2 linked regions of the Struthio camelus genome follow. The protein of the gene in region 1 purifies or fractionates together with the protein of each later gene. This does not show direct contact. Links are inferred from orthologs where the notes say so. Each region holds a gene or a part of one and is shown in the gene's direction. Other genes may lie near its edges. The genes, in order: DEPDC5 and MIOS.

Region 1 (15,679 bases):
TCCATGTTTTCAGGAAGATGCTCTTCCTGGCTTTCACTGTTAATTCCACAGACTGCAGTACTGCTGCTTTCTAGCGGCGTATTTCTGAAGTCCAGGTAACGGGTGCCTTTCAGAGCAGAACATGAAACTTCAGAATTTTCTGTGGAGAGTGTGCCAGAACTCTGTATTGATGACAGCCTGTCAGGTTCATTATTAGGTACAGGAACAGTACTGAAGTCATGAGCACTGTTCTCTTCGTCCTGCTGATAGGTCTGGCAAATAGCAAGTGATGTATTGAATTCATCAACAGGATTCTCTCTGGGTAGCTTTTCTTCTCTAGTCTCCAAAATAGATACAACGTTACCTCCTGTTGTCAACGGCATGACAGTACGGGCTTTTGACTCATCATATTCATTTATTTCCTGTGAATGTTCCGTGGCCGATTCAACGTTCCTGATTGTATAAGGCTCTGAAAAAACTAACATGCTGGTTTGTGAAACCTCATCACTGGCCATGACTGTGCCTACATCTGGGCACTCATCGCTCTCAGGTGGAAGATCATTACTCACTCTGTCATTCCTGTATCCTGCTTTACTAAATATCCTAGTCCCATCAGCCTTCATACCTTGTGCTTCTTCAGCAGGCTTTGGCAGAGTTTCAGCTGTCACCTGAACATTTGCTGGGTTTTCTTCTGCACACAAAAAGTAAAGAAAGTCAGTACCATACTCTAAATTCAGAACACATTCAGCTTACTACATTCCTTTTAGCACTATATAGAACATTGTGTATAGAAAAGTTTTGATAATCAACACTAAATGAGAGTTGTTGCTAGCAACTATGCCACAATTTCAAAAAAACCCCAACCAACTGAACACTCTTCCCTCCTCCCAACACCCTCCTCCCCCCCAAAACCAAACCCATAAACAAACTACCAAAACCTTATGGTAACAAATGCAATACTTTTCAATACAGACATTCCTCATGATCACATCCCATACCCTGTATTTTTCAGATTCCTGTAATATTGGGCAAGGTGCAATACAGGTCCTGTGGCTCACTACATTTAGAGTCCTGTCTAAGATCATTATGCTTAGTTGGAACATCAAAGCTCAATGTAACTGGGTACTTTGAGTTATCTGTTCTATCCTAGAAATATAGCTGTGAATTGAGCGGCCATTTCTCTCTCTTCTTCCTTGAGCGCACTCCAGTCAATAACTGATCCACAGGAAGACAATGAAGATCTCACCCTGTCCAAGCCATTATGGATATTACTAAACACCTCTGTAAAATCATGAAGAAGCTACTAAGTAAAAAATGACAGAACATTAAATAGAAGAGTTAGAGCAGAATGTCTTCATCGTCAAAACTTTAGTCATCGAGACTATAGAAGATCTTTTCTGTATTTTCAGCTAAGGATCAAGACCAGATGGCATGCCTTCAAGCAAGTAAGTACAAGCTTGATGTACTGTGGAAAGCTGAGGTTTTTTTCTGGTTTTGTTTTATGGTTCATTTCAGTAAACAGCAGTAAATACATATATCATGTGCCACTGGAATCATCATATGAGTACACTGATCAAATATTTTCAAAACGCTACCTTTGTTGAATAAGAAGCTTAGTAAGGTCTAACATGAGCTAAAAACGTAAACTAATCTAATATACCAAGCTATGAGAACTCGCCATCTTAATTTGCAAAAACTAAGCAATAAGAAGGTAAAATACAGTTGATAATTGATCCCAGTTAAAAAAAAAAAAAAAGTCAGTACATCATTTGCTCACTGTGCAGTAGAGCATGAGACAGAAGGAAAATAATCACTAGATGCAGATAAAGTGACCAACGCATTTGGAGCTAGAAGATCACAGATCATAACGAAATTAAGAACTAGTATTGCTGCCCTCTCCCTTTGAATGCTGCGTTTTCATTTTCTAAAACATTAGAAAATACACGAGTCCTACTTTTTCACACTTTATGATAAATGCTCTCACATAATCCAATTTTGAAAGATGAGGAAGCATAAAACATCTGCTATCAACAACAAGAACTTCTGCCCAGGGGTAAACAAGTCTTCCAGTGAAACAACTAAAACACATTTTGTTCGCAAAAGGTCTTTGGGAAAGTACACATACTGTCATGAAAAAGCAGAAAATTAACTTTTCATGTAGTTCTAACTATGCAGGACAATTGTTTCTACTGTAAAACAAAGAAAATGAGCTATCCAACAATCACTCATTAATTTTGACCAATGAAAGGGGATCTGGGAGAGAACCAGGGAGTAGATACAGATATACAACTAAAATGTGCACCTTTGTTCTTCAGAGATCCTGCTATTTCAGTGCAATAGATGCTTGAAAACTTCACCCCATGCTGACTTAAGTGAAGCTCCTCCTGAAACAAGACAGAAACACCAGTGAAGACGGATCAATTTTTCTGAAACTTTTCGCATGTTTCAGGAACTCTGCCTGCTCAAGTAGGTTAGTTCTGAACACCTATCAAGAAACCTCAGAACATACCAGCCCTTGGAGGGAGGGGGAAAAAGAACTAATTTGTATAAATAAGCCTGTTTTTAAGATTGATAATACAGGCAGCCTGGTCTTGAAAACAGTTCAAACAGGGCATTCTCTTTTCTTTCTGATCCTATCAATCACTAGCATCTCACCATGAGACAGGGATGCATCCAGAAAAGATCTGTATTTAGTGGCAGTGAAGTCTTGCCATGCAAGCAGCTAAGATTTACGTGGATTAAACAGAAAGCGCCCCAAATTTGAAACAGAAAAGTATTCCAGCCTACAAGTCTACCTCACCTCCCAAATCCTGTATATCTATCTCCTCAATTAAACCTCTCATGCAGAGGAAATAAAAAAGCAAAAGCCTACCTCCCTTACCGCATTTCCCATTCTGCCGTTTGAGTTTACACTGCTATTAATATAACTTCTAAGTTTTCTGGTTAGTTGGGCTACAGGAATGATACCTGAATTCTTATTATATTTCTAGAAGTGTTGAAGATGAATTAGAAGACAAGTTCAAGAAAAGGTATGTTATCAATGTATTTTCCTTAAATACACCTTTGGATTGTGTAGAATTGTGAACCTTTGAATAGCAACTGATTTCTCCTCTTACGTGGACAGAGAGATCAGGGATGAAACTGAAAAGTCACCTCCCAGACAGAGTATTTTCAAATTCATTCACTGCAAAGACTTCTTACTCATTCAGAAAGGAAGGGTTACAGAATGGCCTAGATACTTATTCTTCATATGTGTATTTAAAAGTTTTTACAGTTGTTAAAGATCCAGCGCTTACCGAATGGTTAACCCAGACTGACTGTGGTATTTGAGTTGGAAGTCTAGGTCACTCAGTCAAACAAAATTGTTGAGGTAGGGGTGGTGACAAAGTTGGAATAAGGGATCTTATCAGATGCTAAAACCTCTGATGAAAAGCATGCTCTTCACAATTTTTATTAGAACTTGCCTTTTACCATCTTTCCCTTGGCCTGTAAGAACCAGGAAGAGGTGACCTTGGTCTGCTCAGCAAAAAACTCCAAACTTCCTGCACATTTGAAATATGTGAATGCTCATCTTGGAATACTGAACAACTATGGAAAATTTAATGAATTCTGTTCTCACAGATTTACTAGTAAATCAAATAGGTAACAAATTCCAGAGTTACAAAGGCAAACTATTTTAGCTCTTACCTCCAGTAATAACTGTAAAATATGCATCTTATCCAGATATTACCTAGCTGATGTATGTTTGGTCACAACACTTTTTTCTCTCCCATCTCCTTTTTGTGACAAATCTTTACAAACTAAACAGAACTGATCAAAGAGTCACTAAAATTTCATATACTGCTTTCCCTGCAAAGTAATCATACATACAGTTCTGTAACTTTTTGAGGCACTCATAAGTGAAATATTTTCTGATACCAGTAATCAAAACAACAACATTAAGGGAGACAAGGAAAATTTGTATTTTATCTAAGAAGTGTAAAGAAATGCCGCCTGCTGTACAAAATGCAAACCAACTGTTTACCCTATAAATTTGACCTTCAACCAAGCTTCCCCTGCACTTATTTCTTAGTGTTTCAAATTTTTTTGTTGCTCTAAAATGTGCAATTTTTAATAGAAAGTTTTGAGATTTTTCAGTTTTTAATAGACTATTCTTTGGCACATTTTTCCAATATAATATTAGTATACTATTAATACAGCCAGTCTACCTTTGCTCATATTTAACAAGTCTTTGCCAGAAATAACATTTTTATCATCAGTGTTTGCTAGAGGAAAAAGAAAACGACCATGTGAGCCTTATTATTTTGAGCCTTATTATTTTGAAAAAGGAAACCGACACCAATCTCCTGTCTAATTATAAATGAAAAATCTAAGCATGAAGAAGAATCTGTACTTTTAGATAAAAAGAAACCCTGAAACCCTAAATTGGAGCCCTTGTAGCACTGTAATACTACTACCAGACTAAAATAATAGTTATTTAATGATTCGTGCCTTTACTGGGGATGATATCTGTAGATTATGCTGTACCCATAGGAGATGCAAATTGGGCAAGGCAAGCTTTTTTAGATGTTTCTTTTCTCTACCTTTTTGGTCACCTGCCTCAGTTTTTCTTTGTATTGTAACATCCTGCCCAATACTGTTCCAATGGTATTTACAAAAGTGAAAAGAAAAGCCTGATGTTTTAAAATACTGTTGCTCTACCCAGTGATAAGTGAAAGTGATAGCTTTCACCGAACCCATGAAAATCAAAAGAATGACACATACGCCAGAAGACACAAATAAGAAACAGGAAACCACATGGGCAAAATCTTCTCCCTAGTCACTGTAACCCTAAGTTCAAAATATCATGCAGGGATCCATTTTTCTATTCTCTTACTTGTTTTGACCACCAACTTTCCTCAGGAGTTAAAGCACAGCATTCAGCAAGATACTCCTCAGCATCTTGTCCCTCTTTATCTTCTTTCTGGTATCCACCAGTAGAAGAGTCTAGTCTCCTAGAGTTTCTTTTTTTGTTTTCTTCATCCTCTTCAAGGTCTCCCGATTTTAGTAATTCTTCAGTAAGGGATTCTGCTAGCCCATGAGAAATCCCCTTGGGCATATCACTCAAATTCTCTGTTTTCTGAGACAAGTTTTCTACTCCAGAAGTCCTATGATGCTCAGATGGCAAACTGTCCCTGCATGCTAGCACAGCTGTTGGCACATCAGACTTTGCATCTAATCCAACATTAGGCTCCGATACAGCCATAAGTTCAGTGGAGATGCTGACTGGCAGTCCAGTGTACAATTCCTCTACTACAGCAGACATGGAAGAATCAAGGAGGGATTCCACCCCAGATGATAGCATCAGGGCAGTTGAAGACCTGTTATCCGAAGCTTTTCACAGTTTATCCTAAAAATAAACGCAATGTTAAATCAACATACATGGGAGTAATCTCTGCCTTAGAAGAAAAGCTTCATTCTTCCAGATGCAAACATGTGTGTTCAAGAAGGGTTTTTGCAAATACATTTGTAAGGGGAGCCGAAAAGCACTTGAGTATTTAAGCAAATATTTCAAGAACAAGAGAAGAGAGCGTGGACAAACATAGTCCTAAATCTTATTTTCACATTCAAACGTCTCCCAACAGATACAGCCTTATCTTATGGAGAAAACAGGCAACAGAGCGAATCTCTAGGGCGTACGTTAGACAACCTGTTCCCTAGCTACAGCATCTTTTATTTTCCTGTGATTTTCTTAAGCTTCTGATCTTTAAGAAGCTTTTCTTCCTACCTTTCCTAACTATAAGAAAACGCCTTATAAGACAAATCATCATACGCTGTGCCTTGTAGTTTGGCTCACGTAAACAAGGATGAAGGACGAGATCACGTTATTACTGATTTTCCACGCAACATAAGCATTGCTATCATCTTCAGCTCAGGTAAGCTCTTCAGTAGGTACCCTCCTCTTGTGACAGTGACAGTACAGACCACTGTGACCACAACACCGTGGAGGTGGCTTCGAACTCCAACCTGACGCAAACGCTGCGAGCGCGACCAACAATTCCTAAAGCCTTGCTTCAAAACACTGCTCTGAAAACACCGCGATACCAGTACTTTCGAAGTTTACAAACCTCTAACGGAGATACATGCGTAAGCGCTTTCAGAAGCATCGGTTACTCGGGCAAAACACGGTTTATAAAGACACAGGCTTATCAGCCAAGGGTTGCTCTCCCTGCTCTGCCCCCCAAAGCAGCCGGGGAGCGGGTTGGCGGGCGCTGGCCAGGCGCTACCGCCCTACAGGCGAGACACACACCCCTAGCAACCCGCCACCTCTCCCCCAACGCTGACCACTCCCGGACCAACGCCAGCTCTGAGGGCGACCACCGCCTCGGCGGCCCCCGCTCCCGCAGGCCCCTTTGTTCCGCGCCCTCCGCCCCGCGCCGCGCACCGCTCCCGGCGCCGCGCACCGCTCCCGCCGAGCCCGGGCACGGCGCAGCCGCCCGCTCCCGCCGCGCCGAGCCCGGCCCGGCCCGGCCCGCCGCCCCCGCCCGCGCACGGGAGGCCCCGGCGGCGCCCGCTACCCGCGCCCCGGCGGTGGCGGCGGCGGTGGTGGGGCCGAGCCGCGGAGCCTCCTCGACCCCCGAGGGGCCCCCGCGCCGCCCCGCGCCTCGCTCCGTTACCTCAGCGGGCAGCAGCCGCCGGCCCCGCTCCTGCCCGCGCCGCGCCGCCCTCCCGCCCCCTCCACCGCGCGCATCACTTCCTCATCCGGGCCCCGGCCCCGGCCCGGGCGGGCGCAGCTGCGGCCCCGCCCCGGACCGCGGGCTGCCGTTGCCCCGCCAGCGAGCCGCGTCGGGGCTGCGCGGCCGCGCGCAGGCGCCCTGAGCGTCCCCCCGCCCGCAGGTCCGAAGCCCGCTCGGCGCTGTGCTGGGCGTCACGTGGGGCGCGCGCGCGCGGCGGCCTCGCGGGCCCCGGATGCGGAAGCGGCGAGCGCTGCCTGAGGGGTCTCGTCGCGTCGCGTCGCGTCGCGTCGCGTCGCGGCGCCGCCGCCGCTGCCGCCGCAGCGCCCGGCCGCCGGCGGGGGACGCGGGAGCGGCGCCGGGAGCGGGAGGTCAGGGCCCTGCGCTCCTCCCCCGCTCCGCTCCGCTCCGCCGTGCCGTGGGGCTGCGCTGCGCTGCGCTGCTGCCCGCCCGGGGCTGCGGGTGAGCGGCCCCGGTGAGGGCGGCCCCGCCGGGCGGGCGCGGGCCGCGCTGCGCCTCGGGCCTGGCGCGCTCCGCTCGCCGGCCGCCGCCTCGGCGCCAGGGGTGACGCGCGGCGGATGGGCGTTTGTTTAAAACCCGCCGCAGAGCTCATTGTGAAGGTCTTGTAAAGCTTTGCTTTCACCAGCCTTAAACGTCTGTCCGTCCCGTCTCCCCCCCCCCCCCCCGGGGTCTTTTCAGCGCGCTGCTTGAACGGGCACCCGCAAAAGGGGATCTGCGAGCTTGGTGCCGTAACCTGCTTCAGGCCTCCGTTGCTCCTCTGATGCGCGCTGTGATTTGGGAAGCGGGTACGGTCATCGCAAGTGCGTGTTGTAACTAGAAGAGCTCGTATTTCAATTTAACAACGTGGCTGTAAGCGTTAGGAAGAGAACCTCTGTCCATGCTGATAATCTTCAGTTTTAGTACACTTCTAAAAAGAGTAAATGGCAAAAGTAAAGCTCCTCCATAGAGATAGTCTCCCTCTTTTAAATAAAGGGAGCAGGAAGAAAAACGCGGAGGGTGCGCGGAGGGGAAGTATTCGGTGCGATAGGCGTGCAGCGCCGGCGCGCCCGGCCCTCTGCTGGCCGCAGCCGCCTCTGGTGTGCGAGGTGGAGTCCCTTGTAGTCACCGTGCAGCGCAGTGACAAAAAGAGATGATCCCTCAGCTGCGGGCATAAGTTTGAGTATTGATCTTATGTCGTTAAAACATTAGATTCAGAAATTCATCCTCGAAGTAGACAAAATCCAGTTTTAGAGAGTGATGCTACCCCTTTGATGGGAGTGCTGGTAGAAGAGGGATCTTTGCTAAACTTTTACTCTGAAATTTATTAACCTCTGTGGCATGCCAGCCTTTCACGTGTGGTGTTCTTGCCTAAGTGAGTTCCCCTGGCAGTCCTGCTGACAGAACATCCTTCCTTCACGTAATCCCTGACTCTCTGAAAAATAATTCTTCACAGAAATGTTGTTCTTTCATAATAGCAGACATGTTCCCAGAGTATAAGGAATAATTTTGTAATAACAGGAGGCCTGTGGGGTTTTTTGTTCGTTTTTCCATTTACATATTAGGTCTGCAAGATGTCATCGACTGTTTTTACTCAAAGCAGCTGAACTGAGAAGCGCCTTGGTGCTGACAGAGCCCCCCACGGTGGGAGGGACCTTCTCTTTCCAGAGAAGAACTGGAATTCAAGATGAGAACCAACAAGGTGTACAAGCTCGTCATACATAAGAAGGGGTTTGGAGGCAGTGGTCAGTATCTTCTGGCTCATAACAGTGAGACCTGCACTTTCTTCCTTATTTGAAAGCAGTGACCTGCTTTGTTGATCTTTTTAACACAACAAGAAGAGTAGAACTTTAACGAGCAGTATTGCCAGCCAAAGTGTGGAAAGCTCTTTTCAGTAGCAAGATACAGCAGAACAAAATTTATGATTGCATCTGTAAAATAAAATGGCTTTATTCTACCTCTTCTGCTTTTGTTATGTCACTTTTCATCTGTTTTCTTCTTCTGACCTTGTATTTCAGCCACCCTTAATAAGGGTGACAGAGGTGTCTTGTTATTGCTGCATGTGGATGCATATAGGGTCAGATTTTGTGTTCCTGTGTACTAGGAACAATGTTTATTTGTTTGCTCCCTACTTCTGGGCTCCAAATCATAGCATGTTAACAAAGTTTTGCTAAGTAGATTCTCTAGCTATCTGCCTTCCTGCCAGTGCTCGCTAAATGGGAAATAATAAAAAAAAAAAAAAGAAAGACTCAGCTTGCCTAACTAAAGCAGGCTCTTTTGTTGAACAAATCTGCTGTGAATGTTCTGCGACTTGAAAGAAAAATTTTTGCCTGCAAGATTGGCCAGACTGAAGTGGCTGAATAGGGGCCCTATCATGTAGTGAATATAGTGTGCTGCTAATGTGTTAATCTGGGACTAGTATATTAATGTTGAGCAGGTTCGTGCGTACAAAAAATGTCTGTGTTCGATACATATTTGTTCATTGCAGGTTTCCTCATTCATTTATGTTTTGTCTTGTAGATGATGAACTGGTGGTGAATCCTAAAGTATTTCTTCAAATCAAGCTGGGCGATGTTGTGGAAATTGCGCATCCCAATGATGAATACAGGTGAATTCTCTTTGTGCTGTTACCAGTCAAGTGTGGTTAGGGAACTGAAAGGGCATGTTCGTGTGCGGTAGCCTCTAGACTGAGGGACTACTGGTTGCTTGATTTCATAACTTTGCTTCAGGAGGTTGTTACGTTTTTTCTTCCTGAAGAAGAGTAAAGAGGATAACTATAGCAAGAGGTCTTTCCCTAAAGTTTGTGGAGTTCTTTGTGTTTGATGCTAGTTTGCTGACTGTTTGTAGGGTAAGTAGCACCTGAATATGGAGAAATATACATCGTCTTTATCTTCTTGATAAAGCTGCTGTTACCTAATGATTGCTCTTCAGTTCTACAGTATCTCCTAGGCAAAACGAAAATTTCCTAATCTGGCTGCAAAAACGTAAACCTCCTTAAAAGAAAATGTTTATTTTGCAGCTTATGTCTGAAAAGTAGGAGTGTAGCTGTTTGATGATCTGAGAAGTTTGTGTGGCTTATCTTCCCTGTTAGAGCATCACATTTAGCTAAACGGTACCTTATAGTTATAATAGGTATAAAGAACAAGAAGGGGTGTCAGGCAGAGAGGATGATGTGTGATGTTTTTAGAAAATATTAATATAAAAGTTTGTTAATGTGGTATTGCAAATGCTTAGCTGATCGCGTGCTCAATTTTGCAAAATTGTTTTGAGAGAGTGATTTAGTCAGAGTAGATTTATGTTTCAACTTTTTTGCCTTTTTTCTTTTTTGTGTCCTAGCCCCCTGCTCCTGCAAGTGAAGTCACTTAAGGAAGATTTGCAGAAAGGTGAGCCTCTAGACTTACAATATGCATAGTAAGATCATAGACAAAGATTACGTGATTGGACTGTAGCAGTGATCGAGTAATGCCATATATTTTAACTTGGTGAGAAAAATCAATGCTTTGTCTGTTTAGGAGTGGAACAATTATTATTTTATCAGGAAGTGAATAGCCAATTTTAAATCAATTTTTGGCTGGGTAATGTGAGGTGCAATTTAAACAAAATTATTGGCTTTTTAGCCTTAAATTTTTTTTCTGCTCTCTCTGACTGACTGTTTGTCGTCTTCTTGCAGGAATAATTTCAGGCTAAAGTTTATCTCCCCTGCTTTGATTTTAACAAATCTTTATTTAGCAGTAGCTGAGAGATGCTGTTGTCTTTTGCTAAGGTCCTAAATGTTTCATGAGAACTTCACTGTAATGATTTGGCACTTTAAGCCACCTGGAAACTTTTGGGGGGATGTTCACTTCTCTGTTGTCTGTCCTTTCTTCTGTGGCAGAAACTATAAGCGTGGATCAGACTGTTGCACAGGTATTCCGACTGCGGCCGTACCAGGATGTCCATGTGAATGTCGTTGACCCAAAGGTATGTGGCTTTGTAACTTTGTTTCTGTCTGCCCCTTCATGTAGCTAATTTGGAGCCCTTTGGATTTCTGTCTACAGTGGTGTTGAATAAAGGCTTTTTTTGTTGTGGGTTTTTTTGTTTTTAGTTAAAAGGTTTTTAGTCGTCTTCTGTAAGAAAAAGAGCCTTGGGCAACTGCACTATTAGTTTTCATGTGTCTTTTTCTTCTGTCCCCATTGCCCCCTCTCCTTTCGAAGTCCATAGATCAGCTTCAACATACCTTGACAGAGATGTAGAAATCTCAAAGATAATTAGATTCCTGAAGTCTCAGGATAATCATGCAGAGGCAAGAGACTATGTAAGTGGCCCAGTCAAAAGAAAAGCCGTAGCATGAATTCACATATTTTGGTGCCAGACAACCTTTATAAGAGGCATCTTTTGTGAATGTCCCAACTATCAGAAGAGCTTCAGTCAAAGTGTGCATTCAATACGAGACAAAAATCCACAGGAAGCTAGGCTTCCTTTGTTTCATGAACAGTGGAAATCATTTGTTTTACTTGTGGTTCTGATCAGCACTGGGACTCATAGCACATAGTCATGAGGCTTTTTCTGATCACGTTATTCAACATCCTGCAGCTCGCATGGGTTCCAGGTATGCGTGCAGCTTTGACAGTTGTTCTGATGGGATTTCCTTTTTGTCTTGTGTCTGTTAGGATTATTGGTTTACTTTAGAATAGCAAGTAACATTTGGTCCTGACTAGAACAGATTGAAGGGTACTGCATTGGAAACAATGAGTAGAAGCTAAGCTTTCTTCCATTTCCCAGGAGGTGACCTTGGACTTGGTGGAGCTGACTTTCAAAGATCAGTACATCGGGCGTGGGGATATGTGGCGACTGAAGAAAAGTTTGGTACGTCCTCTGCTTGCCTTACTGTGTAGGGTGCAGGAGATTGTGTACCTTTTCCCTTGCTCACTGTAAAATAAAACAAGCTTTTTACAAAATACAGAAAACTGAGGAAGAGACAAATGTCAGCCGCTCCTGAGTAGCACACAGCCGCTTACTACATAAGTGGGACATCAAAGTGGGAGAAATGCATATTAGATATGTTACGGAAAGAATTATAGTCCTATCATTTCACACTCTGTGGCAACAACGTTCATTAGTCCCTCGGACATTGAAATCACTGTTGAGAGTTTTTTCCTTCGGTTCTGAATTTTACTAATTTACTACCTTTGGAAGGAATTGAATCTAAATGTTTTTCAGACAGAAGCACACTAAAGCAGCTGTTCTATGACAAAATCACTTACTAAGCAACTATTCAAAATTCTTTTTTTCTGCATCTCTGAAATGCAGTCTGTGGTTGCTCTGTGGCCAGTTCCCCAGGCAAATGATTATTTTATTACTGTTGTTCAGCTTGGCTCCTGTCTGTTACAAGACTATTTTCCATTGTCCCATCTGGAGGTTCGTAGGTTGAGAAGTTATTTGCAATTATGGTCAGCGGCCCTCGTGTTTTTTATGGCAGGAGTCTGGTATTCAAGTGTGTTTTTTTTTTGCAAATCAATCTACTTTGAGTGTGCTGTTCTTTTAACACCTAAAACTAATCTTTCTTAGGTCAGCACATGTGCTTATATCACCCAAAAAGTTGAATTTGCGGGTATCAGGTGAGTGCTTTATTATTCTGATTTGTTCCTAGATATAGAAAAATTACAGAGGAACAGAGAGATCTCTGACTTAACAGACAACTATAAAGAGAAATGCTCTAAACTTGTATATTTTTAGCATTTCCACCTGTCAGTGGAAATAATATATTGTGAGGAACACAATCTACTGCTGCTATTCCTCTGAGTGCTTACTATTACTTATGACTTCAGATCTGTGAGTCCGGACTATCCAATGTGAGACTCTTCTCTAAAAAATCCTCCACGTTTTTTCCTTCTCTTACTCTTTTACAAACTTCCGTCTGTACTGTGAGATGAGGGAAGAGTTTTACCTGATCTGAAGTAGAAGAAACCTGTGATAGGATAGGTGACCGTACTCATTGCCTCTGTGAATGCCAAATAATTTACCTTTCACCTCTTAGAGTATTTTGCCCTCCTAAAGCTTAATAGTATACAGAAGGGGGTTACTCTGGCTGCTGTTGAGATGACAAAGGGTCAAGGAGATATGTGGATGCAGCAGAAAACAGCTCTTTGACATCTTTTGGATTAAAGATCAGTTTTTATTCAAATACACTTATACTATCTCCAAGTCATCCTGGAATGCGGAGTTTGGCACATCCCTAATTTGCTCAAAGATTGATTTTTCTAATCTCCATATTCATTCTGGTTAGTAAATATTCTTCCCTGTTTTTCTTTCAGGGCACAAGCAGGTGAACTGTGGGTTAAGAGTGAGAAAGTCACTTGTGGCTACATCAGTGAGGACACGCGGGTAAGATTTTGGGTTAGTGGGGGAAAGGAAGTTTTTCCCTTTTTTTCCTTGCTAGGCCTCTTGTAATTCCCTCTTGTTTGCAGATTTGTGTGAATCGTTTGAATTGTCTGTGTTGTAAGGTAAAGAATGGTAACAAATTCAAGAGAATGAGTAATTGATACAGTTTCTCCCTTCCGCACTGCCAGCACTAGGAATTACTTCAGCGGTTGAAATGCCAACTCCCTAGAGAGGAAGTGCCCCATGACACAGGGGGCAGAGTATCGTATAAGTCCCTCTCTAGTTAACTTCTGCAATTTGGCCCCAGTTATGCGTTCTGTGGCAATGGCAATCAGTCACTTTGTTCCGTCTCTTTCCTGCTCCTTGTAGTATGCTGGCAGCAGTGTTAACGCCACTGTGTAGTGAACTGGAGATCAAAGAACTGGTCTGTCTTGGCAGGGGGGAACCCTTTTACTGCATTAGTTCTCAGCTGGATCAGTTCCCCGATCTATTTCGTTGTCCAATTCTTCATGCTAACAAAATGCAAGAGCTCAGCCTCAAGAGCTGAGAACGAGTGCTTAGGAGTTGGTGAGGCGGGACCAGGAACTGCGTAATCTGATAGTTCTGCCAAAAACATTGTTCCTTAAACTGTATCCCTGGAGACTGTTAGGGAAGCCGTTGCTTGGGATCTGAACAGTTTCTTCTAGTTAGTGTCCTTCTTATGCCTTTAGTGAATATACCTTGTTTTTAAAAAGATCTTTTGTTGCTCTCTAGGTGGTCTTCCGCTCCACTTCAGCTATGGTTTATATCTTTATCCAGATGAGCTGTGAAATGTGGGATTTTGATATCTATGGTACGTAGGTGTAACTGACTTGCTGCCTGGCTGCAAATGCAGATGGCGGCAAGCTTTTCTGTCACTAGTAGAAAACTGAAACGTCCTGCCTTTGGCCAAGGCATTGCTCTGTGAGCTGCGCTATGGTCCCCTCTTGGAATCTGGCTGGTAGTGCCAGGCCTTTACCTCTCCTGAGTATTCCATAGTTTTCTACTCTTACTGTAAGGCCTGGGTGCTATTATCTCGGTGACTACTTCAAGGGGGCGAGCTGGGCCATGAACCCTGGAAAAGGTTTTCCTGTGGATCTGTCTGTGTTGAGTGATGAGGGCAGGTGCAAGCCTGTGCGAATCCTGAAATTAGAAATGAATGGGAGCCCTGTGCAAAGAGATTTTTGATGTTTTACATCTCTCTCGACTTATGGTTTAGCCAGGAAGCAAAAACCCTATGTTAGCCCTGGTAGAGTCAGCTAGAATTGTTAAAATTTTAGCAGTTAAGAGTGTGAGTGACTTATCTGTGTCATTGTCCTATTTTTTTCTGGCTTAATTCTTTAATAAACCCCTTTACCACTTCCTTTGACCATGTGTTTAGGCATATGTAACTGGGCAGCTATTCAAAACTGAGCAGGGGATCAGTATCTCTGAAAGATAGTACAGATGCTTTCCCAGCGTGTTGCCAACACGTTGGAATAATGAATGTAAAGGTCAGATCCCTCTGACAATATAGTAGTCTTGTTTACATCCTCTGAAGCATGGCCTTGCTTTTTCATCCTTTTTTGTCATCTTTGCCTCAGAAATATTAACATTGAGTAGGCACACAGCAAGTTATTCTGCTCTGATTCTAATAAAATTAATTATCCTAGAATCTCTGTGTTAAATTTACCTGGATCCATGAGTGTACGATTGAAGTAACTGCTGCTGTTTGATGCTTTAGAGATGTTTACTTTGCAGGGGACCTGTACTTTGAGAAAGCTGTGAATGGTTTCCTTGCTGACCTCTTCACAAAATGGAAGGTAAATAGCTGCTTGAGCTCATCCTGTTTTGAAAGAGCAAGTCAGTGTCATCTTAAACAATGAGCCCTTTGATGTGCCGGTTTGAGGAAGACCCAGGTGCTGTCAGTCAGTGCTATGGTTTACAGGACTCAGCATCAGAAGAGTGGTTACTGCAGGTCTGCAGATAAATTATATGTGCTGAGTAGTTCCAATACTTATCTGTTGCATCTACTGTATGTGCATCATGCAATTGATTTGTTCATGTGCAGGGGGTCTGACTGGACTGATGTCATCAAATGTATAATGTAGTTGTGCTTGTGCTTGTGTAATAATGTACAAGTGTGATTTACATGATTTTATTTGTTCCAGGTCATCTCAGTTCCTCATATTTCCCTGGTACTGTGTGTAATCTGGTTAATGCTGCCATCTTTTAATATGGGGGGTCCAGGCTGTAGTACATGGGCCACTGGAAGTGCAAGCTACTTGAAAGTGGGGTGTTTTAAAAAACAAGCAGAAAGCCTCACTGTGTCTTCTAACTGAAAAACCAAGTGTCATCTCCTGTGTCAGTGCATGGCCTGGCTCTGAGCCAGGTACAGCTCTGTCAGCAATGCTGCGTTAGAGGAGAGGGAGGGTGGCATTGGAGGCTGACACCCTTTCAGCCATAGAGCTATCCACCAAACTGCCATTGGTTTAAATGAGAAGCATAGCAATACCCAAGATGAGGCAGATATGAAATCTGCAACCTAAATTGGAAGTATAACAGACATGGCAAGAACCTGAAATCCTGAGTGTATAGCATGTATGCAAAGTACAAATCGCAGTGGTATAAAA
Region 2 (15,781 bases), on another chromosome or scaffold:
TGGAAGTAGTTAAGCCTGACCTAGCAGTGACAGGATGACAATGAAAGGTGCTTGTTACATGTGCCATACGGCATGTATGTAAAAAGGAAGACTAAACGAGCACAATTATCATCAGTATCTTTGTGAGTCTTCCCTGAGAGTGGTAATCCTGTAAGAAGAATGCATAAGTCAAGCATCGTCAGTGCATCAAAGACTGCAGTGACATGTGCAGTCACGTAACATATGCTAGGCTCAAGATAATTTGTGGATTGACACAGTACCTAACAACACTAGTCAAGAGTGAAGACAAAAAAATGTTCACAGACTGGAAAAATCAAAATGACCTTAAACCTAGCCACCTGATCATTGCCAACACGGCTGTTGACAGAAGTATGACTGATGGCCTGCCTCCTGTGAGATGCTAGCAAACACGAGGTTAGTAAACTCATGGCATGACTGAAGATGGCAAAGTTTGTAGCTCTTACTCCAAATGAAATCTGAAAATGGGTTGCGAGATCCTGATTGCATCATTTTTGCTATATTTGTGAAACGCAGATCATCTAGCAACTTAGAAAATGTGACTAAAATTAATATCTCTATGAACAAGGGAGAGGACTTTGTTTCTCAGATGGACTTCGCTTCCCACAGTGAGAGGAAGCACAGGATACGCCTTAGTGCCATAAAACAGAAACAAAAAAGCCACATAGACAGTTTCTGCAGGCTGCAACATTTAATACAGAAGAAAGAAAAAAAGACAGCATCAGTGGGCTTGTTGAAGTCATTCTCAAAACTTAACTTAAAAAAGTAAACTGATGTTTTGGAAAAACTTAAAGCTGTGTGTGATGCTGGTGTAAGAGTGACAAGAGAACCAGAAAAAAAATGGGATTCCCATTCGGTGCCTTTTTGGAAAGCCCCATCAAAAGCATCAAATTTCCAGACTATTTGAAATTAATAACTTCTGATTGTATATTGGAAAATTAAGAAGGAGAGAAGAAAATATTGCCTCATAAAAGTTGGGTCGAAGGTCTCCAAGATAGGGCATATAAATAAATAAGTAACAATAAAGTATACTGCTGTTTAATATATGCAAAATGTTTTATGCTTTATTTTTGTTGTAATGTGTATTTCCTATCTTTGCCATAAAATGCTCATATTTTATCTTAGGACTCATAAAGCTTTTACTTCCCTTTGGTATAATGCCCATCAAACACTGAGGGAAATAACAACTCATCATATGGTTTCATATGGCATATTCATATGGTTTCCACAGAAGTAGAGGGCCACTGTGAAGCAACATATTCCCACAGATCTGCCCAGGGAGCTCACTGGAGGAACTGGCTGGGAATACTCCTCGTCAGCAGAGTCTTGGTGGGAGCTTGCTTTGCTAGCTGCAGTTTCTTCTCGGGGGCACAGACAAGCACTCCTGTGATGTCGGGCAGCAGGGACTCATCTCACAGCCTGGAGAATCTCTTTACAGTCACACAACTCACGGAATAACTGTGGTCATAATCAGGATACAGACAGCTATGCCCATATATTTGTACCAGGGAATGACGGAGAACAGTGCTTTGCTCCAGATGTTGGTTGCCCGAGCACAGACATTAAATCTTTTTTTTTCTTTTTTTCCCCAGCTGAACCATTCCATCTAACCCTGTAATACTGTCAATATGAAGAAGTAAGTAAGAATCGTGTTAGGAAACTAAATATATATTAGGCACCCAGGGTCCCTACAGACTAAAAGGTAACATTAGGTCACATCCATACTGGTAAATTATACGTGCCCACAGCCATTATCAAGCCCTGCTGTGGCCATCTGTCAAGAAAGAGCCCGTGATCATACCGTTAAGCTTTCTTAGCCTTCATAAGAGTGGCTGCATGAAAACAGAAACTGGTCATTGTGTTGTGCTGACTTTTGAACAATGCCTAGGAGTTGTTTGTAAAATTACAAGTTGGTTTGGGCCAAAACCATGACAAGGATCATTCTAGCAATTTAACTGCATAAATAACTGAGTTTTTCATGCCTGGGACTTCCCTGTCACTGTTTAGATTACGAACATAATACAGCCTTAAGAATAGGACTGCTAAAAGACTACACAGTGAGCAAGAAATCACTTAGCCGACTAAAATAAGTTGAGGGGAAACGTAGCTTAAGACTTACATTACAAAAAGAGTTAGTTGAATGCCTCCACGTAGAATCATTAATCATGATGTCTTTTTTAGACGGGTAAGTCTCATCAGTCCTTCCTCACAAATTAAAAAAAAAAAAAAAAAGAGTGTCTCCTCTTCTTCCTGTTAAAATAGCTTAGTGCTTAGAAGAAAATCCTTCTTTTTACTGAACTCAGGTTTCCCAGATCTGAGATGAATATGCTTAAGAATTAGATATACCAGGGTGAGGATTCCTGAGCAGCTCCTATGATGCTGTTCTATCCTGTGTAAATAATAAAGTACCAGTTGACCCAAGAAAGCTCTATAGCCCAGTACCTACAGCATTCACTTGGGAATCAGGAAAAGTAAGAGTAGAAACCCACATTACTGTTATCTTAATAAATATGCCAGGCAAAGAATGTTTGATCTACAGCGCAGTGACCACCAGAACAATTCATTCAGTCTGTGGCCAACTTCACAGTGCCGTCTTTTCCAAATTCCCTCATAGCTGAGGAAGGCTGCAGGACAGACGAACTGTTCTGGTGGCAACAACCTGTTTATATTTGCTGTGTTTCTATTATGAGCTCTACTACTCTATTCTTCCCATGTTTCCAATCCTTGTACCTGAACTTTTTACCTTAAGTTCTAATATAGCCTTTGTTTTCTTTTAATGCAATTGCTGCCAAGTGGACTATGAGTCATTTATCATGGGCCAGGGGCTGGATCACAGATTCCTTGGGAAAGATGGTAGTAAGAAGTGGGCTGCCAATGCTTCAGCTCAGCAAAACATCACTAAAGCCCACAATCACTCCTTGAGAGCGCCTTCACAAAACGTGGCAAGCAGGGCACATGCAACCAGGTTGCAAAAGTTGTTGCAGAGCTGATAACTGTTTCTCATCATGTTGTTTTGGATGGTCTGTGAGAAATAGGAATGTAATGCATACACAATCAATATTGTACTTGTGAGACATGTCAAGACACATGGCACTTCTTCAGATCAACCGTACTGCACACAGCAGGAGTTCCAGTCACCAGATACGGAAGGAGCCATGGCATAACACCCCTCTAAAGCCCCTTTCAGAAGCAAAGTAGCTCACCAACATATGAAATCTGGACACCAGTGCACTTTCCACTAGACTCTTGGGCACAATAGTAGTACCCACTGCTAGCTGTGCTTTCACAGAGCTAGGTATGTTCAGAATAGGGACAAACTAACTGTGGGTATCTTCAGTCTGTTAAACGGGGATCCGTTGCAAGATCTGTCTGTATCAAGTCTTTTGACGCTAAGCACTTGGAGAATTTTGCATATGCTGAGAGGCAGCAGTGATGAGTGGTCGCAGCACACAGTAATGTTTCCTTTGCCTAGGAAAGTTCACAGACTTCCAGAATTACGCAGAAATTTAAAACATCTGAAGTTTGGCCTTGCGCACCTACAGAAAAATAATTCACTTTCAACACACCCTGCAAATCTAGTTCTTTAAAAATGCAAACAGCTATCTTACCGCTGTATGTTTCTGTTAGCAATACAAACTACCACGGACTGAAGGAATAAGAAATGTAGAACTGACCCAGTGTGAGAATTACTGTGTATCAAGTGTAGCTTGCTTGTCCTGACCCTTGAACTGGAAACATCTCCTCTCCCACTCATTTACGAGCCTGCAAACTCCTGCTTTGTTACCTACCAAAGTACATTTTAATTGTCACTGTTAGAAAAGGAGAAAGTGTAGCCTTGCTAGTTACTTACTAACTTTGTTGTCATCTCATCCGTCAGATGAAGATCATCCAGGCACAGAACAGGTAAAAGAAAATTAGAAGATATCAAATGTAGTTTTTCTGCATTGTCCCTTTTCTTAGAAAACCCCATGGTAAAAAAAAAGTGTTCTAAAACTTCTAGCTGCTGCAACCATACCCTGGACATTTGGACTGTCTAGGGGATCCACACCATCAGTCATTAAAAAAGCCACTTTCACACTTTGGTTACAACCTTCAGTTTTAAAGAGCTGAGCAGCATTAGAAATTGCCTAATAGGAATAGATGCCATGGCCAATAAAACTCATACTCTTGATTTTGTCTTTAAAATTCTACACATTTTTCCAAGCTGTAAAGGGATGATCAAGGCTGACTGTGCTGCTCAACAGCATACTTGCCAGTTTGACATTATACTTCTGAGATTTAACTTGTTTCATCAAAAAAATATTGTCATGTAAGTTGTAAACAATTCTCTTCTGTGCTTCAGACAATCCATTATTTACACTTTCTGAACTGTCCAAGATATATACTGTATCCAAGAGATACATATCACCTGTAATAGAATAAAAAGTTGCAGAGACACATCAATGAACATTGCAGAAACTTGTGCCTTAGAATTTAGATAACTCACTGGACCATTTCTAGCTTTGTCCCTTCCTCCTTTGTCCCATTAAATTACCTCATTCTGCAAAAAGTAATAATGATGAAATTCTGCTCCAAATTACATCATTACAAATTTATCACAACAAGTCATCCATGCTTGATTAAAACCACTCATACCAAGGACCTAAATTCTCTTAGCCTTAAATTTACATAATAGGTTGCCCAGCAAATTAATTTACTAAAAATGATGAGCATTGTCATAATTTCCCAATGTGAAAAATAATGATTAAGTTTCATCTATGTTCATCTGAAACTACATAAATGCAGGAATAAACAGTGGAACACACTGCAATATGCACATTATATTCTACTGAAAAAAACAAATAAAATTGTTTTAATCTGGACAATTATCATTCTGTATCAGACCATTAGGCTTTTGTAGTCTCTTTCTGGTTTGTCCATAAACCATTTGGTACGTGAAGACAGCCAAAAGCATAAAACAACAGGCTGAATGTTTTAACTACATAGTGATTCTGATCCAGAATCAGATGACTTACTCTTCCTTTTAAAAGAAAGCAAGTATCTATCACACTTTGATAATAACAAGCAAATATATAGATGCACATACTGTATATGCAGAACTGGGCATTCCATTGAGCACATTTTGGATCTAGAAGCAGATTCAAAAGAATAACATAAACAAAATGGTGACAACTTATTAAATACATGCAAGAAATCACAACAACAAGTAAAATCTCAGCTGTAGCTCATTTATTGAGCTCTTTGAGAGAAAATACAGGCTGAATACACATGGTTTTTCTCATTATATTTTCTGAAGACTATCTAACTTTCAGTTCTAAGATAGGCAGATGATACCTCCATTATTACTGTAGTATTACTAGCAGAAACAGAAAATATTTTTTTAAAAACTGTTACTAACAAATAACTGAATTTACAATCCATATTTCTAAACTGAACTTTATATGTGGATTTACTTTCAGGTTTACAATGCTGAGTGTACATTCTCTTTTTCTTTAGAGGCACTGGTTCACATGTGAAATTCTAAGTCTTCACACCTTATGAGCTTTTAGTAACCGGGTATATAGAATTGTTTGGAAAATAAAAAATACTAGTCAATGTGGTAACTAATTTCTTCAATACAGATTCTCAAATATACTAATTTCAAAAACTGCCAACAGCCTAAGAGTAGTTAATTTCAAATATCATCATTAGAATTACACAATAAATTATCAGTATAATAAACATATTTATTAAACATGTTCTGAGTATTTTTTCAGCAGCTGAAAATCTATTAATATTTTTCTGAGAAGATAAAAAGGAAAAATACACCAAACAAAACAGTAATATAACAACTAGAATTAATAAGAGCAACACATACATTTATATATTCTGCTGTTTTTGTTCAGTACTCGGATAATTTCATTTGTGAAAAATGCTCTAAACTATTTATTTTCTTACCTTTCAATGCATTTAAGCAGCAAAATGTAGACCAAACTTCAAGTGACAAGGTGACCTGAGAATATGTTTTTATAGGACCAATATGAAAATGAATAGCTTCTCTTCTTATAATGAAGATTACCTTGCCTATGAATCCTTTTGGTACTGTATTCACGTTTTGTTAATCAAAATTGAATCTAGTGGTTAGGCATTTAGCCGAACTTACATATATGGGTGAAATAAAAAGTCATTTATTAAAGGGACAGAATCTATGAAGTATTGTCAGTGCTTTCTTAAATTCAATTACCAGATTTATACATGCAAACTCTGCTTATCAATAACCACTGTCGGCACTTACGTCTTTTTTGGCCATAAGATGCTTCTTTTTCCTGCTGATGCACTGAAAAATACTTGACAAGGGATGGCCGGCTCAAAGTACCATCATCAACAGTAGATAAAGAATATACTTTCTATTCTGGAGCACCCTACACACTACCTGTGCCCAGTACGCTAAGGAGTATAATTATATTGTTTAAGTTTGAAAAAAAGAAACAGAGAAGAGAAGCAGATTGCATCATTGAAAGGGCAAAAGGGCCTCCTGTATTACATGACAAAATTTCAGCAACTGATTCCAGCACTATATCCATAAAATATGTAAATACAATAAAACATTTCTTTTAGTTGATTTAAAGAGTTCCAGTGGTAGAGAATAATACCACATATTTGATATCTGTTCCAGGAACTGTTTCTTCTTCAAAATGTGTATCTAATATTCTGCCAGAAGACATCAAGAGTTATTGGCTCTTAAAATGCCTTTATCTGCAAGCCCTCTAGTATCAGCCCTGTATTCATAAGTATAAACTGACAGTACTGGCAGGAGAATATTTTTCCACATAGAAAATGTCCAAACTTTTTGGGCTTGTTTTGGTTTTCTGAAGAACTCCAACTTCAAAGATACATCACTGTGGGTACTTCAGAGGGATTTTAGGTCACTTGCCATCTTCCATCTTCTGACCACACAAGTAGATTCTCTAGCTGGCCTGGACATCTCATATTCAGCACCTCCTCTACCATATTGGCGACAGAAAAGAAGTTTTGAGTTGTGGTGCATCTGCTTTACAGACAAGGACTAATATAAAACACAACTCAACTGTGTCACCCTTTGGAGCAGAAATATTTAATTTTCAGTTGCATTAATATGTCACAGAATTACTTGCACGGAAAGCAAAATTATAGCATAGCAAAATAAAATTTTACTTAGAAAACCCCCCAACCTTCCCACGTGGAAAAGTTTTGACAGAATTTTTTATAAGCTCTATTTATCAACCATGGAGAACTTTCTTTTCATGTCTGCAGAAGTACTGGATTTACTGCATGTGCACGTGAGTAAGTCTGTATGTGCTACGTTGCCATTACTGAGAAGCACCTGGAAAAGGCAGAAGCTGGGAGAACGCCTGTTGCCAGAAGCCTATGTCACATCCCCATTCTGTGCTCGAAGGACTCTGCAGAACCATTTGCAAGGCAAACAGGCAACAGCAGGATACAAACTGAATAAAATTTCCTGGTTGGTTTTATATATGACATCTCAGTTCACATCCGTTGCATTTTTCAGTAAATAAGACCGTGTAGTTGTTTCACACTTGCTAACTGATTCTACTGACTTGTAAAATCTAGGTATCCTTGCCACTGTTGCCCTTTTCCCACCTCTGCCACTGGCCTACTTTTCAACGCACACCTTCCAGTTATGATAAAGACATTGAACAACGTTACCCTGAGCAATAAGAGTATTTCAACGAATTAAAGAAAGAAGTGGGTGTCAAATGGTCTCCTTCCCAGCTATGCTGCCTTCATGGGGCAACCCCCACTCAGCCGTAAGAATTTTTGTGTCTTCACTGGTGCCCTCACTGGAAAAAAACAACCCCTCCCCCCCGCCCCAAGCTTTTCAGTTTTAACCAAGTCAGTTGCGGGCGCTGCACAGGCCGGTCTCTGGGCATTTTGAGGGTGTCTGTTCAGGGGCAGGGAACTCAGAGCCTCCGCTTCGTTCAGCAACGCCACTGTCACCCACCGCTGTACCGGGGTACCGCGAACTGCCCCAAACCTGCCGTTTCCGCGCCATTTCAGGGCCGCACGCGCAACCCCCGGACCCGCTACCACCTCACACAACTCATCAACCGCCGCTTCCGCAGGCGCCCCGCCCCCCGCAGACACCGCCCGCGACGCCTCCGCGCACGGCCCCGCCTCCTCCCGCCTCGGCACCGCCCACCGCGCCGCCGCCGCCGCCCGCCTCGCGGCACGCGAGGGGCGGCGCTTCCGCTGGACCAATGGAAGGAGACAGCAGCGCCGCAGCCCGAAACTGGAGGTTCCCTTCGCCCGCCCGCCCCGGAAGTGGCACGAGCTTTTCTTCCCCGTTGCCCCCCGCAACCGGAAGTCGTTGTGCGCCTCCCACTCGTGCCGCTGGGCCAGTGGGGCCGGACTGGGCCGCGGTCCCAGCCCCGCCGGTGGCGCGGCGGCGGCGGCGCTCTCGGAGGCCCCGCGCGGTGGGTGAGCAGCTGCCGCGCCCGAGGCGGGACGGGGCGAGGCGGAGGGTGGCGCTCCGCTCCGTTGCCGCCACCGCTGTGTCCCGGCGGGCCTCGCCGGCGGCGTCCTCGCTCGGTGGGCCGCTGCGCCGGGGAGGCGGGGCCGGGCCGGGCTCCGGGCTCCGGGAGGGGGGTGCCTGCGCTGCCCTGGAGCCCTCGGGAGTCCGGCTGGGGAGCCGCGGGAGAGCGAGGGCGGGGAGAGTAACCCGCAGACCCCGAAAGGAGGCTGGGGAAAGGAAGTAGTGCTTTGTTTCTTATACTTTCCCCGTCTGCTAAATATTTCTCCCAAGTTTAAAAGGTTATGGGATTGATGAGATCCTTTTTTTTGTGTGTAGGCACATGTAATTAGTCTGGACGTTCACCTGCTGAAAATGTAAATGCAAGTTAGCATAAGCGTGAGTTTATGAACGCCTCTCCACGACATATCAACAAAATCAAGGTAGTGTTGGTGCAGAAAGTAGTATTAGGAACAGTAGAATAAGATGAGGAGTGGAAAGTTGTATTCCTCTACAAATGTTCAAAGAGAGTAAGCCTTTTTAGGCTTCAGAGAAAACAGGCAGACTCTAATTTCTGTCAGTGCACTTAAATTAGGCAGAAAAATTTTCTTATACATGTTCTAGGGTGTGGCTCTTTACCAGCAGCACACTCATGGATCATGCCACATCACGTTTCAGTTGATCCTTTCTTCCTGGTATAATAATGATGTAATACTGGCATGGATTTTGTAGACACACTGAACCCTGTTGTCAGTTTTGTAGATGGCTATGTTGGTTTCTCAGGAGGTATAGTCCAGCAAAAACAAAGCATGCTGTAGGGAAAGTGATGTAACGTGTAGAGCGCTTAAGGTTTGTTTAGCCCTTAGACTAAAAGTAATTCAGAGCCTTACTCTTCTTTGTTTAAGAATGATCTCTGATTATGAAGGGGTTTGAGGGTTTTTTTGATAACATTGCTAAAAATTACTTTCTCAACAGTTTCTATGTGAATGGATATCACCTGAATCCTCCTACAAGAGTTTAAACTTACCCTAAATATGAGTGGCTCCAAACCTGATATTCTTTGGGCCCCACACCATGTTGACCGTTTTGTTGTATGTGATTCAGAATTAAGTCTTTACCACATTGAATCTGCTGTAAGTTCAGAACTGAAGGCAGGGTCCCTGCGGTTATCAGAAGAAACTACAGCTACGTTATTGTCCATAAATTCAGATACACCGTATATGAAATGTGTGGCTTGGTATCCAAAGTACGATCCTGAATGTCTTCTTGCTGTTGGACAGGCCAATGGTCGAGTGGTACTTACTAGCCTTGGTCAAGATCACAACTCAAAATCTAAAGATTTGATCGGCAAAGAGTTTGTTCCCAAACATGCACGACAATGTAATACTCTAGCGTGGAATCCACTAGACAGTAATTGGCTTGCTGCTGGATTAGATAAACACCGGGCTGACTTTTCAGTATTGATCTGGGATATTAGTAGCAAATTTGCCCCAGAGACGGCAGTTGCTACAGAGAAGGTGAGACTTTCAGCAGGAGATCCAGAAGCAGGACTGGTAGTAACAAAGCCGCTTTATGAATTAGGACAGAACGATGCTTGTCTCTCTCTTTGTTGGCTTCCACGGGATCAGAAGCTTCTTTTAGCTGGCATGCACCGAAATCTTGCTATCTTTGATCTAAGGAACACAAGCCAAAAAATATTTGTAAATACCAAGGCTGTTCAGGGAGTGACTGTCGATCCATATTTCCATGATCGTGTAGCTTCTTTCTATGAAGGTCAGGTTGCCATATGGGATTTGAGGAAGTTTGAAAAGCCTGTTTTGACCTTGACAGAGCAACCAAAACCTCTAACAAAAGTAGCATGGTGTCCAACAAGAACTGGACTGTTAGCTACTTTAACAAGGGATAGTAATATCATTAGATTGTATGACATGCAGCATACACCTACACCTATTGGAGATGAAACTGAGCCGACAATCATTGAAAGAAGTGTCCAACCCTGTGAAAACTACATTGCTTCATTTGCTTGGCATCCCACAAGTCAAAATCGAATGGTGGTAGTGACTCCCAATAGAACTATGTCCGACTTCACAGTTTTTGAAAGGATTTCTCTTGCGTGGAGTCCAGTAACATCTTTAATGTGGGCTTGTGGGCGACATTTATATGAATGTACAGAAGAAGGAAAGGCTAGTTCCTTGGAAAAAGACATAGCTACCAAAATGCGGCTGAGAGCTCTATCAAGATATGGTCTTGACACTGAACAAGTGTGGAGAAATCACCTCCTAGCTGGAAATGAGGATCCTCAGCTGAAATCGCTTTGGTATACGCTGCATTATATCCTTTATTTCACTGTATTATTTTATGGTATTAATTCTGAAGAAGTAACATACCTTTATATGTAAACCAATGATATGAAAAGCATGAAAGTCTTAAATAATGCAACATCCTGTAAATACTTTGTGTATGTTAATAGCATATGATCTTTTAGTTTAAAAAAATGTTTTCCAAATGCTTGGGGAAAAATTAAGCTTCCTATACATGAAAATACTCATGAAGCAGTATACTGAAGATATGGATCAAAAACTTACAGGAAACAAAGGTCCCTTAGTTTATGCTGGCATTAAATCAATTGTGAAGTCATCTTTGGGTAAGAATGTTCCAACTTTAATATGTTATAGCATATTTACACAAGGATGCACTTGTGGGTTCATTTAAAAAAAAAATTAAAAGAGGCTATATAAAAACATAGAAATGAAGAATTTTTGTTTATGATTTAATATATATAACTCGACAGTTTGTATTACAGTAATTTCCAGAATTTTGGGTGTTCTTTGAAAGTCAGTAGTCATAAAAAGAAAGTATCCTTCGTGTTTGAAGTACATCTGTAATTGAACTATTTCAGAGGGGTGTTTTGACTGTGATACTGAAAATGCTTGTTCCTCCTATAACAATTTGTTATATTTTTCTAAGTTCCACATAAGGGTATGGCTCTAGAAAAATGTCCTTATTGTAGTTACTGCTAATGTAATAAATGCATTTATCTAACTATTTAAGGAGCTTATCTTATTTTGAAGTCATAATTGCCCCTTGTGCATCACGTTATGCCTCTCTTGCTCAGTGAAGTTTTTGTTAATTTAATCTGTTATTTGAATCTCTTCTTCTGTGTTCATTGCATGCTTTATTAATATTTATGCTCCTTAGAGCAAAAAATAACTCTTCAGTGCTGGGGAAGCTTCTAGCATGTTTATGCCTGCTGAGAATAAGAGAACTGATAGAGCACATGCTTAACTGGGTATTCTGTATTTTCAAAGTCAACGCACAGATCACTCGTATCAATTTGGTAACAGGAACATCCAAAATCCTAGAGTTTAGAGAAGAAGACTTGGTGGGAAACGTGTGTCAAGTTTAGAGGTGTGATTTTTAGCAGATCAAAATAAAATCTTATGTATGCTGCTGCTGCTCCTTACCGTTGAGTTACTAGTAATGTTAATTTGAAGTAGTAAAATATGATACTCAGCTTTCGTACTCTGCTTTACTATTGAAATCAAAGTGTTACAATTGCAATTTAAATGTTTATTTAAGTCATGATTCAAGTCTTTTTCCCCTTTTTAGGAACAACAGAGAACCTCAGACATAGCAGGAGTGGATCGGATAGACAGGCAGATATTATTCAGTATCTCAGTGAGGAGAGATCCTTGGCTTTGCAGCTCTGTGGGTGGATAAAGAAGGGAACAGACTTGGATGTGGAACCTTTTTTAAATTCATTGGAACAGGAAGGAGATTGGGAGCGCGCTGCTGCTGTAGCACTTTTCAACTTGGACATACGGCGAGCAATACAAATCCTAAATAAAGGTGCTTCCTCAGGAAAAGGTGTGTATTGTTTAGTATCTTTTATTTTGGAGTCCTCTATCATCTTAGTAGATTTTTTTCTGTAAACAAAATTCTGTAAGGCAGTATGAAAAGGTACCTTCAGTCTTATTAAATACCTGCTTGAATTTGGCAGTGGTTGGGCTGAAGCCCGACAATTTGACAAACACTGATCTTTCACTCCTTTCTTTAGTCTCAGTTTAAAAATGCATTGTTGTATGCTCTACTTTCTAATTAAAATAGATTGTGTGTTTTAGAATTTCCTATTGGTGCATACCCCAAAAAGGTGTTACACTAGTGGAATTTTTTTTTCTTTTAATGGCGTGCACGTTAGTTAGATGTCATGTATATCTGATTCTGTTTGGCTGCGTGCTGCTTTCTGCCAGTGCTGTGGCTGTGGAATAATTAAAATAAAATTTTCAGGATTTGCAAAAAACACTTGTTTTGGAGTAATATGTGGGTAGAGTTACAATGTATGAGGGAAAAGTTAAAGTTTTTAGAGCCAGCAGTTGGAAGTGTTTTTGTTCTGCTTTCTTGCTAGTGTTACGTCTGCGATTCTGATTTCCACCTGTGTTCTCTTATAAAAGCCTGTTTTGATACTGAAACAAAAATAACTATATGCACTAACGTGGGTAGGTATGATTCTGAACACAAAAGGAGTTATTAAGGTTCTTTTAATATTTGATAAATACTAATTAATGGGGGGGGAGGGAATCTATATATGTATGTCTGTGTGTATTTTACATAGGAAAGGTTCAGAGGTCCAGACTGGAAACTGGTCATCTCTAAATTAAAACAAACAAACAAACAAACAAACTTTCTGACAGAATGGAATTTATTAACTTAAAGTTGTTATGAAATTCAATTGTCATTCTCCAGCTAGCTCTATTAAGTAATGGCTATATGTGCGATCCTACCTTTTGTTGTAGATATGAATTATGGTAATGACAGTGTTTTCTGATAGTAGTAGGGATACATGTAGCAGTTGAAAACTATTTTAAAAACACCAGAACCAGTGTGATGTTGCTGAAAGCATAACTCGGGTAGTCATGTTTGTGGGCTTGTGTTTTTGAGATTTGTTAGCTTAACCTGAACAAAGGTATTTAAAGCAGAAACTAAAAAATGCTAGTGTATGCAAATTTATTTTAGTGATAATTAAATTATTAGTGATAATTGTACATCGTTTGCTCTTGCATTTTTGACTAAATATTTTATTTCAAAATGATGCTTTCAATTATGTTTTTAATTGGATTGTTATGTCCTAAACTCGAATATTATTTCATTGGTTGTTTTTAATAAATCAGGTGATCTGAACCTTAATGTAGTAGCAATGGCTCTATCGGGCTACACAGATGAGAAGAACTCACTTTGGAGAGAAATGTGCAGCACTCTAAGACTGCAACTGAACAATCCCTACTTGTGTGCCATGTTTGCTTTTCTGACAAGTGAGTCAGGTTCATATGATGGTGTTTTGGTGAGTAAATTTCTGTTATGTTAAAAATCCTTTAATGTGTGTGTATACACACACACACACACACACACGTATGTATATACTGGAAGTGCTATATATGAACTCCATGAAGTAATCAGAGTGTAATATTTTCTCTAAATAACGGCCAATACTTTTCTTCTAAACAGAAGAAGAAGTATTAGTGAGCATTGCATTAGCGAATTAAATAAATAAAAAGATGCATAAGCAGCCAAAATATAGGTATAATTCATATAATTTTTAGAGGAACTATAAAAGACTTCTTCATATATAGTAAATCTATTAAAATTCAACCTGGAACTTTTAAAACATCAGAAATACATTTCTTTCCTCTGCTTAATTATTTGGTAAAGGAAGAGAAGTTGATAATGGAAAAAAATGAAACAAAATGTACAGGGAAGATCACAGAAAGCTTAATAAGCTATCTTGTCATTGAATTTTATCTTATTCTTTCATATTTATTTGTTAAAATAATTTTACTTTGCTGAAATAATATGTAAAATGATAGTTTCATATCTTCTGAAATTAGTATAAAATTGCTGTGTGGAAAAGCAAACCACTTTTTTTTTTTTAATTTAATTATATAATATTTTGAAATGCTAGAGAAGTCACATACTTGGATCCTTGGTTAAAGAACATCACCAATGGTTCAGTAGAAGTTCTTTAGTCCAAGGGAGGACTGCTGTATTAAATAAGGGGTATTAAATAAGAATAAGATACAAGATACGAGCACCTGGGGAGAGAAACTTGTTTTTTTTCTTCCTTCAGTCAAGAGAAAATGCTCTTGCTTTCTAGATGTTAGGTAATCATTTCATAGTTTTTCGGTTTGGAAACTGACAGATCATAAGGTGTCCTTTCATTTTAATTTTTCCTTTAATGATGCTTGTTGAAATTTCCATGAAAAAGATTTTGCCAATCACGTTTTCTTATCCTAAGAATGACAGGAGGGATAAATATGGGCACAACTAAGTATCAGAGTATTTGCTCTGGTTAAGGTAGGCCTAGAGAATGTAGTCAGTGTTTTTCACTCAGCATCGGGTCTAGTAAAATAGGATTAGAAAGTAGAAAGTGAATGCTATTACATTGCTGCACTTCAGATGCCAATATACCTGACAAACTCTTTGCGTATGTGTGTGGTTTTAGAAGGCAATTTTGTGTTTAGTCTAGCTATTTCAACAATGTGGTAAGTGAAAAGCTGTTTGGGGCGGGGGGGGGGAAGTCAACCCCTCCCATCCCCGCTATGACTTGGTGAGACTCTTGGCTATGTGTCCTAGAAGCATTGTAGCCCAGTGCTACACAACTTGCAGAGTTTTTGTTATCTAGAGTTTACATAAACCATATAGGATGTGTTGTACCAGGCTTTCCTGCCATTTAAGTAGACTTTTCCAGGTAGCCATAGTCTTGTGCACTTGCACATGCTCTCTCTTGCGTGCACACTCTCTCTATATCTCTTGAGCATAAACAAGTCTGCTGATACTTAGCATTAACTTTGCTCAGATGTGATGCTTTCTTTGTAAATCATCATAGTATTAGCTGTACAGTAACACAAATGTTCTGATTTTTACAATGTATTGAAAAATTGGAAACTTGGCATGTGATGGTAGTATTCTCATTTTTCTCTCCCAAGTATGAAAATAATGTAGCTGTACGAGACAGAGTGGCATTTGCTTGTAAGTTCCTCAATGATGCACAGGTAAGTGTGCGGCTGTGTATCTGAGCAAACCGTTAAACTGTGGCTTTATTCAGAGAGTGAAGAAACTCTGGAGAGGTGGGGGTAAACAGTGGAAGCAATGAGTTGTTAATGATTCCTATTTCTCCTCACAATAGGAAGTAAACTACGGTATGACCTGATCTTCAGTTTGTACCTTGGGTTTGACTTTTGTCATAATTAATAATGGGGTTTTTTTGTTTTTTAATGATAT

The links.
Region 2: the proteins of DEPDC5 (region 1) and MIOS purify together in Homo sapiens (affinity purification with western blotting; 3 studies listed by BioGRID and IntAct, with this or other methods). This does not show direct contact. The link is inferred for Struthio camelus from reciprocal best matches to the Homo sapiens genes DEPDC5 and MIOS.

Annotation. Positions count from the first base shown.
Region 1 is NC_090958.1:8,398,861-8,414,539, forward strand, and holds the start of DEPDC5 (GATOR1 complex protein DEPDC5), read left to right. Parts: upstream 1-7,366; 5' UTR 7,367-7,498; intron 7,499-8,254; 5' UTR 8,255-8,376; coding exon 8,377-8,434; intron 8,435-9,209; coding exon 9,210-9,297; intron 9,298-10,025; coding exon 10,026-10,072; intron 10,073-10,563; coding exon 10,564-10,649; intron 10,650-11,450; coding exon 11,451-11,534; intron 11,535-12,236; coding exon 12,237-12,286; intron 12,287-12,982; coding exon 12,983-13,052; intron 13,053-13,802; coding exon 13,803-13,881; intron 13,882-14,807; coding exon 14,808-14,869; intron 14,870-15,679. Other genes in the region: protein PRR14L, read right to left, coding at 1-670, 2,282-2,363, 4,856-5,323. UniProt on the Homo sapiens protein: As a component of the GATOR1 complex functions as an inhibitor of the amino acid-sensing branch of the mTORC1 pathway.
Region 2 is NC_090943.1:29,891,857-29,907,637, forward strand, and holds the start of MIOS (GATOR2 complex protein MIOS), read left to right. Parts: upstream 1-8,221; 5' UTR 8,222-8,475; exon of another isoform or gene 8,476-8,586; intron 8,587-8,845; exon of another isoform or gene 8,846-8,949; intron 8,950-9,481; 5' UTR 9,482-9,540; coding exon 9,541-10,837; intron 10,838-11,051; coding exon 11,052-11,150; intron 11,151-12,115; coding exon 12,116-12,373; intron 12,374-13,674; coding exon 13,675-13,844; intron 13,845-15,486; coding exon 15,487-15,552; intron 15,553-15,781. UniProt on the Homo sapiens protein: As a component of the GATOR2 complex, functions as an activator of the amino acid-sensing branch of the mTORC1 signaling pathway. The GATOR2 complex indirectly activates mTORC1 through the inhibition of the GATOR1 subcomplex.